Linked DNA regions of Sus scrofa. The protein of the gene in region 1 interacts with the protein of each later gene in a biochemical or structural test. Links are inferred from orthologs where the notes say so. Each region holds a gene or a part of one and is shown in the gene's direction. Other genes may lie near its edges.

Region 1 (4,297 bases):
CAGCATGGAGAAAGAGGACTAGACTAATGGCTTAGAGAATTGTAGCGAACTTCTACGTTTGACATTCCCCCAAGCTAGGTATAAATGATAGCTTTATGAAGACCTTTTCAAGAAAGGAACACACAGACCTAACCAAAGAGAAAGGGTAGTGTAGTGAACCACCACTGTTCCATTGCCAAGCTCTAAGAATTACCAATGCATGGTCAGTCTTTTTCATCTATACCCCTACTCAGTCCTCCTCTCTCCCTAACTTACTTTAAAGCAAATCCTAGATGTTTTATTCACACATCCTAAATATTTCTAAAAGATATTCTAAAAAAGATATAATCACAGGGCCATTATCCAATGATTCCCACTAGCAAATACTTCAACAGCTTCATCTATGGGTAAGGCACTGTGTGGTTTTTGCTTTTGAGGATGAAAATAATTTGCCATGAAGAAACGGTGGTGGTTTACCGTTTGAAGTCACAAGCTCTGAGGAGGTGTGACATGCATGTATGGTAAAAGCTACACTAGATCTACTGTCGGGTTTGGCATTAAGAACGGTAGATTGTGGATTTAAATGACCTGGTTTATATTTTCCCCCTAAACCTTTGGAAAACAAGGCGTGGGAAGGGGATTTAGTGTCTCTATTAGGCTGAGGCGTGTGTAAACTTGTTTCTTTTGTCCAAAAGGTACAAGTTGTTAAGAGAAGCATGGATTTATATGAACAACTTCTCCAAGAGACTTACACACACACACAAAACCAAAACTGCCTCGGTCGGGGAAATTGGTTGGTTTCGGGTCACGTTCCAGCTGTCGGCAGGCAGTACCGGCTGGTTTGCTCCAGGCAGGCCATAGGTCAGCGGCCTCGGCCAAGGACTTGGTGCCTGGGTCTCCAGCAGCGCCCAGGGCTCTCAGGCGACAGGGCGTTTCCTCTTTTCCGGCTTCGAAAAGTTTTGTTTTGGTTCTTAGTTCCCTGTCAAGGAAAGGCGCCTTGTTGACGAAAGGTTTCTCAGTCTCCTCCTTATGGCTTGAGGCCAAGTTTCCCCTATCCCAGTTTAGCCCGACTTGGGTTCCTTCGAGATCCTCGAAAGCACAGGGAGTGGGTCTTCCGAGAAGGAAGAGGAGCCGGCACCGGTACCACCGTCTTTGGCCGGCCCCTCTCTTCGCTCCGTTTTTGAGCCAGTACTCATGACACCGCGAAGGGTGCGGGCAGTCTCCGGGGTGCCTGCTCCGGGACCGGATTCTCCACCACTCCCTAGAGAATACTGTCTTAGCCGCGCCCGCGCAGGCAGGAGTGGAAAGGACTAAATCCCGGGAATGGGGCCCGGGGCGCATGCGCAAGCGAGCCGCGGCTTTTGAGTGTTCGCCCCGCGGCTGCAGCCGCTAGGTGGCGCATGCGCCCTAGAGGGTGCCGGCCGGTCTCCGGGAAGAAGGCGGCGGCTGCGGCGGCGGCGGCGGCGAAAGGCGGGGGCGCCGTGGGGGCCGGGCCGGTGTTTACCCGGCGGCGGGAGGGCGCGGACGCGGAACCCGGTGCGGCGGCGGTGGCACGATGGTCATGGCGCATTTCGTTGAGAATTTTTGGGTAAGAGAAGGATGTTGGACATTGTGTGGGTTTCGGAGTCTGAGAGTTTCGGCGGCTGACCTCGGCCTGCGTGCGCTTCGGGCGGTGGCGGCTCCGCGGGCAGGGCCAGCGTCCTCGGACCGCCGCCTGCTGCGTCCTGCCCGGGTGAAGCCCGTCGGGTGGCTGGTCTCCGGCCGCCCAGACCCGCAGGCTCGCAGCCCCTGCGGGGGGCGGGTGTTGTCAGCGCGGCCCTTCAGTCCGTGGCGGGGACGCCGAGGGGCTGCCGGCCGCCCGCGCTGGGACAAAGCGCCGGATGGGGCGGGAGACGGGACCCGGCCCCGCCGGAGACTCCCGGCGCCGGGCGCCTTCCGCGGCTCAGACGCGGACGCCGGGCCCGCGGCGCGGCCGCTCCCAGACGCGGGCAGCAGGCGAGTGCCGGCCGGGGGGAGCTCGCCTCCTTCCAGCCCCGCAGGCCCCCATCTTAGCCTTTTTGCCCCCCCACCATATCCCCACGAATTCCCGTGCGGGCTTGGGCTGGATCAGCACTTCCTCTCGGCTTCGCAGCTCGGCTCGTGGGTCTGTGCCCGGGACTTTGCCTCTGGGCCTGTTCACAAAGCGCAGAAAAGTTGAATTTAATGTAACTGGATTCCTTGGGCTTAAATGCACCGATACTTCTCCTTGTGCCCTGTGCTCCTTCCCCTTCCTCATTCTTTCCACACCCGTCCTCTTAACTCCGTATTAGTGTTAGCTGGTTCTTTGAGAATGAGTTCCCAGTCTCCCTGTGGAGTGTTTTTCTGCAGTTATTGTTTGTTGTAATGGGAAGTACAGTTCAGCCATGTACAGGAAAGTAGCATGTTTACTTAGGTATCTCAGGAATCCCATTTTATGGCTTGACAGTTGCATGTGCCACAATTCCATTTTAATTTAAGATGTAGAAATATTTAAAGCAGTACTCTCAGTGAGTAAGGAGTGTGTCTTAAATTCTTAATTTCCAAATGTTTCAAGCGGGGACTTGCTTAGTAATCACATCGGTTCATAATTATTAGTCTTGAATGTTTCTTGTTTTCCACACGCGACATAAATACTAGACGTTGGGGTTTTTGTTTTTAACACAGCTTTATTGAGGTATAATTCACCTGCCATACAATACACCCGTTTAAGTAAACAGTTCAAATTTTTTCGTGTATTCATAGAGTTGTGCAAATGTCACCACGCTTTTAGAACAATTTCATCACCTCAGGAAGAATCACGGTATCCTGTAGCAGTCATTCCCAATTTCCTTCTTTCTTTAGTCCTAATCTCTAGATTTCTACCTATGTAGATTTATCTATTCTGGACGTAGTTATATAAATGGGTTCATATATGTGGCTTTGTGACTAGCTTCTTTCACTTAGCATGGCTCCAAGATTCACCTAGGATATAGCATGTGTCAGGACATAATTCCATTATTTTACCCGAATTTGTGATCCAGCGTATGCATACAGACACGCACATATGTATACTACATTTTATTTGTCTACTCATCAGTGGTAGATCTTTGGTGGTTTGTGCTTTTTGACTATTAGGAATAATGCTGCTATAAACTTTTCGTACAAGTTTTTATGTGGACGTATAAAACTTAGAAATGTCTTCATTTCTTTCTGGAATGAAATTGCTAGGTCATATGGTAACTCTCTATTGAACATTTTGGGGAAGAGCCAGACATTTTCCAAAGTGGTTGCACCATTTTACAATCCCATTAGTGATGTCTGAGTCTTCCAGTTTTTCCACATGGTGGACAACATTTGTTATCTTTTTTATTGTAGTGGAGGAATGTAAGTAATATCTCATTGTGGCTTTGATTTTTAGGTAAATGATTTTGTTAGTATTTCCCCCCATTCTGTGGGTTGTCTCTTTTTAATTTTGAAGTCCAATTTATCTCATTTTTCTGTTATCACGTATGTTTTTGTTGTCATATCTAAGAATTCTTTCCTAACCCCAAATTACGAAGGTTTACTTCTGTGTCATTTCTGTGGGTTTTATATGTAGTTTTAGTTCTTACATTTAGGCCTATGATCATTTGAAGTTAATTTTTTTGTAGTGTACCAAGAAGAGGTACCGATTCATTCTTTGCATGTGGGTATGTGGGTATTGAGTTGTTCCAGTACCATTTGTTGAAAATATACCCCCCCACAACCCATGTTGAATAGTCTTGGCACTCTTATTGAAAGTCAGGTTATGATAGATGCATGAGTTTATTTCTGGATTTTTGTTTGTATTCCATCATCTATCATGCTAGTACCACACTGTTTTGGTTACTATAGCTTTGTAGTAAGTTTGGAGTGGGAAAGTCCAACTTTTTTCTTCTTTTTCAAGATTATTTTGGCTTCTCTGGGTCCCTTGGTTTTCCATATGAATTTTAGATTTAGCCTATTGACTTTAGATTTAAGTTTTACAATGGCAATGTATAAAACTTACATAAAGAATGTTTAAAATCTGACATTCTTAGCCTGTTTTGTATTTTTTTGGATGCATAAGTGTGTTTTTGAAGTTTGCTAGCTTAATTCCAAATTGCACATTAACATTTTAAGGTTATCCTTTGTTTCCTCTTCATTGAGGGTTTTTTCTTCCTTTGTTTTTCTTTTTTGGCCACCCCCATGGCATAATGGAAGTTCCTGGGCCAGGGCTCAAATTCCAGCTACAGCTGGGACTCAGGCTGCAGCTGTGTTAACACCAGATCATTAACCTGAAGTGCCACAGTGGTAACCCCTG
Region 2 (3,816 bases), on another chromosome or scaffold:
AGACAACCTTATCGAGTTAACTGTTTACCTTAGCTGTTTCTAGGGGCTGGCCCAATGCTGCCATCTTGTGACAATTCTTTTTTAAAAAAAATTTTATTGTAGTTGATTAACAATGTTCTCTCAGTTTCTGCTGTACAGCAAAGTGATCCAGATATATATATATATATACACTCTTTATCTCATATTATCTTCCATCATGTTCCATCACAAGCAATTGGATATAGTTCCCTGTGGTGTACAGCAGGACCTCATTGCTTATCCACTCCAAATGCAATAGTTTGCATCTACTAGTTTGGACTTAGTAGATACAAACTCTTGTGACGGTTTTTTAAAAGGCTGCCAAGAGCTACTGTAATTCAATGGGTTGTGACACCTGGAGGGCTGTGTGAAAAGGACTGATTTTCATGAGTAGGTATGTATGGACTATACTACTCATCTAACAAGGAAAGCTTAAAAAGTGTAGAAGAAAGAAAGGGCTTTGACATGCAACCAGCATTTGAATGCTAGCTATACTGTATTAGCTGACTAGTCTTCAGAGTGAGTTAATCTCTCGGAGCCTTTTTTTCTGAATTGGCCTCAAGGCTTAATGAAGCTTTGCCGTGTAGGTGCTTTTAAGTGAGGTAATTCTGAAGCTCTGCCACTTCAAATGAATGTGCATGGCTTCCTCTTCCAAGAAGGGATGAATTTGCCTGTAATAATCACCCAGAGTCCCAGGATGTGGTAGTGATTTTTGTTCCACAGATGTCAGTTTCAAAAGTATGGAACTCGATTTCCAAGATAAGCCTGACTGGAGGACTTGTGTACGTATTTGGGGAAAACTTGTCTACTGACTGCTTTTTCACCTTCTAGAACTGCCAAAGCCAGCTCCCAGACAAGGTGCCCTGCCAGTTACCAAATCCGCTGACACTGCATTTGAGAACCCCTTCTCTAAAGATCCTTTCCGTTCATCACAAGCCTCTGTAAGTATCGCCTGCTAGGAGCCATTGTTCCCAAGTACATGCCACATAGAGTTACTGCCCCTTGAACTAACCCTGCTTGTCTCTTTGTCTGTAAAGGACATTTGAATATGATTTACCATTGAGAACCAGCACAGTGTAAACATCAGCTCAAACTGGGGAAAGATTATTTTTGCAGGAACTACTCTCCTGAACTGGAGAAACAAACCTCATATAAAAAGTCCTTTTATCTCACTTAAAAAAAAAAAAAATTGAGCCGAGATACTATCTTTAAAAATCTTTCAGATATTTAAGTTCCTAATTTTCCACCCATGACTATTTAGCTCATAAAAATAGTATTTTATATTTGGGAGAAGGCAAACATAATTCTAAATCTTGGTTTTGATGTAAATAACAAATATGCATCACCAGTCACAAGCAGGCAAACACAAATCTTCATAGACACTTATACCATCTGATTCGTCTATGACCTAAATGATATTTAAAGGAATTTGAGAAGTCAAAATTTTAGGTGTTTTTTTATTGCAATTATAGTTATTGACAAGATGCTTTTATCTCCGTAGATGGCTTCTCCTCAACCCACATCTTCCGATGTATATAGGGACCCGTTTGGAAATCCTTTTGCCTAACTCCTGTAAGTAGATGATCCTATTAAGCTTAGGTTTGGTGGGGAAGGGTGTCACAGAGGGTAAGGGTGAAATTTTAATTTTAGATCTGGGAAGAAGTTAAATCTCTGTAATGTAAAAGTAAAAGACATGGAAATCTATATTTAATTCACTAATGACTAGGCTGGGCATTTATGAATAGGATTCTTATACATATAAAAATCAGTGGTTTACTCATATGCATATGGATTTCTATCATCCTGTGTTTTTGATATTTCACTTCTATAGAGAAGTAAAACTCAGTATAACACATAACAGCCTTCTGGATGTTTGACCTTCGTATTGAAGTGATTGCAAAGCTTCCTAGTAATCACTTGGTTCTCTATAGAAGCTTCAAAATCTGAAGACCTTCTGAAGCCACCAACCAGGTCTGCCAAACAGATAATGATCACAACACATCTGCCTCTCAAATCTATGTGTATTTCTTTGTGAGGGGCCTCAAAATTAGTTTGCCACAGTGTGGTGGTATTAAATCCAAAAGAAGTGACAGCTGCCCATATCTCCTTCAAGAGCAGTCTAAGTTCAGATGAGTCCGCTAGTGGGTTTTGTCCTTGGTGAGTTATTTAACCACTGTAGGTAGAGACCTGGGAAGGGGCAGGAGGGGGTGGGGAGTGGGTGTGTCTTTCTCAACAGTGAGTGGAAACAATTTTATCTAATCTTCAAAGATTGAAGTTAGTGGAGGAGAGGTTTATCTGCATGTTACAGGAGGTAGAGTATAGCTGGAAGGGGCAAACAAGAAGAATGAAAAGAACCCAAACCCACTTTTTTTTCAGTCTTGCCCCCATTCAAGTGAGACTGCTAAACTATGTCTTGATCCATCTAGAATTTAATCATTTTAAAGAGGTGAATATCTGAAATCTGATACCAAAAATGAGATTTGAGTTTATTTGCACCTCACCCCACTTCTGTAATTACAGTGTTTCTTAAAGTGCTTTTCCATAAAACCAATTTCAGAGACCTGAGTGAGGTAACCACAAAGGCAAATTCCTGGACCCCAGCCCAAAGGAATCCCCCTCAGTGCTGAGAAAATGCTTCATTTTTACAAACATCCAGATGATGGCTGATGTTAATCAAGCAGTGGAATATATTGAATATATTGAAGGGCTGGAAGTCTTGCAGACACATTCTTCCCTCTTCTCCAGGGGAGGCATACAGGAACCAATAGAAAGGAATAAACTCCACTAAAAGCCTAGGAGGATTACTTGCACTAAATTGAATTGATGAGAATTCTTTTTGGAGGCCCTTTCTTCTTTAGGTCATGAAGGAAGGATAATTTTGGTTAAGCTACTAAATTTATATTGGGGGTTGGTGGGGAGGAGAACTGTCAGGGGAGAAAATAGCTAACATTATTGAGCACTTGTGTTAATCAGTTCGTTAAGGTTCTACAATCCGTTATCTCATCAAAGCCTCTTGAATCAGTCCCAGGAGATACTGACATTTTGAATAACGACATGATTGAGTACCTTGATCCTCAATCAAAAACTTCTAACCAGGGTTTTTTTTCTTCTCCATACTTCTCTAGGAACTTGGCCTGCTGACTATCCAGAGGAACAAAAAGGTTGGCCTTAGTAGTCAAGGACAAAGCTAATAAGCAGACAAGTCCTGACCTCTGCCCTTGTTCTAGCTTTGACATATTATCTGTTGCCTTATTTCTTGCTGTCTCTTCCACTTGTAGCATGCCTTCTGCTTTCTGTTTAGCTAAGCTGAATCTATGGCTTTAAATAAATTAAGAACCTAAACTCTCTAGCTTAAATGTAAATGAAGTAGTTTCCCTATTTGAACCCTTGCCTATTGTGTCCCTAGAACTTTCTAGAACACTTTGCCATGCACCCTCTGGTTGGGCAACGCAACCACATCAACCCCTCAGATCATACTGTTTTGAATAAATTTTAAAATCCTCATTATTCAAAGTGTTTGGGGGTTCTGTTTCAGAGCATAGAACCTAAAGATTGTAGCAGAACAAGGCACCTTTTTAAAATCTTGCTTCAAACCATCACTTAGAATTCTTAAAGTAAAATGGAAGCAAGTCCAGTTTTTCCTTAGGGACTTTGGAATCTGACACACCTAAGAACCTTTTTAAAGGTATAGCTTGTTTTTGAAGATTATTCTCTTCTCAGGGGCAAGATCTATCTTTCTCCAGCCTTTTGCTGGCTGGAGATGCAAATGAGGGAAAACCCTTTCTCATCTCTCCCCTC

Evidence for each region.
Region 2: the proteins of FCHO2 (region 1) and DAB2 form a complex in vitro, tested with the Homo sapiens proteins (2 studies listed by BioGRID). The link is inferred for Sus scrofa from reciprocal best matches to the Homo sapiens genes FCHO2 and DAB2.

Annotation. Positions count from the first base shown.
Region 1 is NC_010444.4:82,099,913-82,104,209, forward strand, and holds the start of FCHO2 (F-BAR domain only protein 2), read left to right. Parts: upstream 1-1,382; 5' UTR 1,383-1,534; coding exon 1,535-1,567; intron 1,568-4,297. UniProt on the Homo sapiens protein: Functions in an early step of clathrin-mediated endocytosis. Has both a membrane binding/bending activity and the ability to recruit proteins essential to the formation of functional clathrin-coated pits.
Region 2 is NC_010458.4:24,591,714-24,595,529, reverse strand, and holds part of DAB2 (disabled homolog 2), read left to right. Parts: intron 1-849; coding exon 850-959; intron 960-1,519; coding exon 1,520-1,585; 3' UTR 1,586-1,590; intron 1,591-3,143; 3' UTR 3,144-3,816. UniProt on the Homo sapiens protein: Adapter protein that functions as a clathrin-associated sorting protein (CLASP) required for clathrin-mediated endocytosis of selected cargo proteins.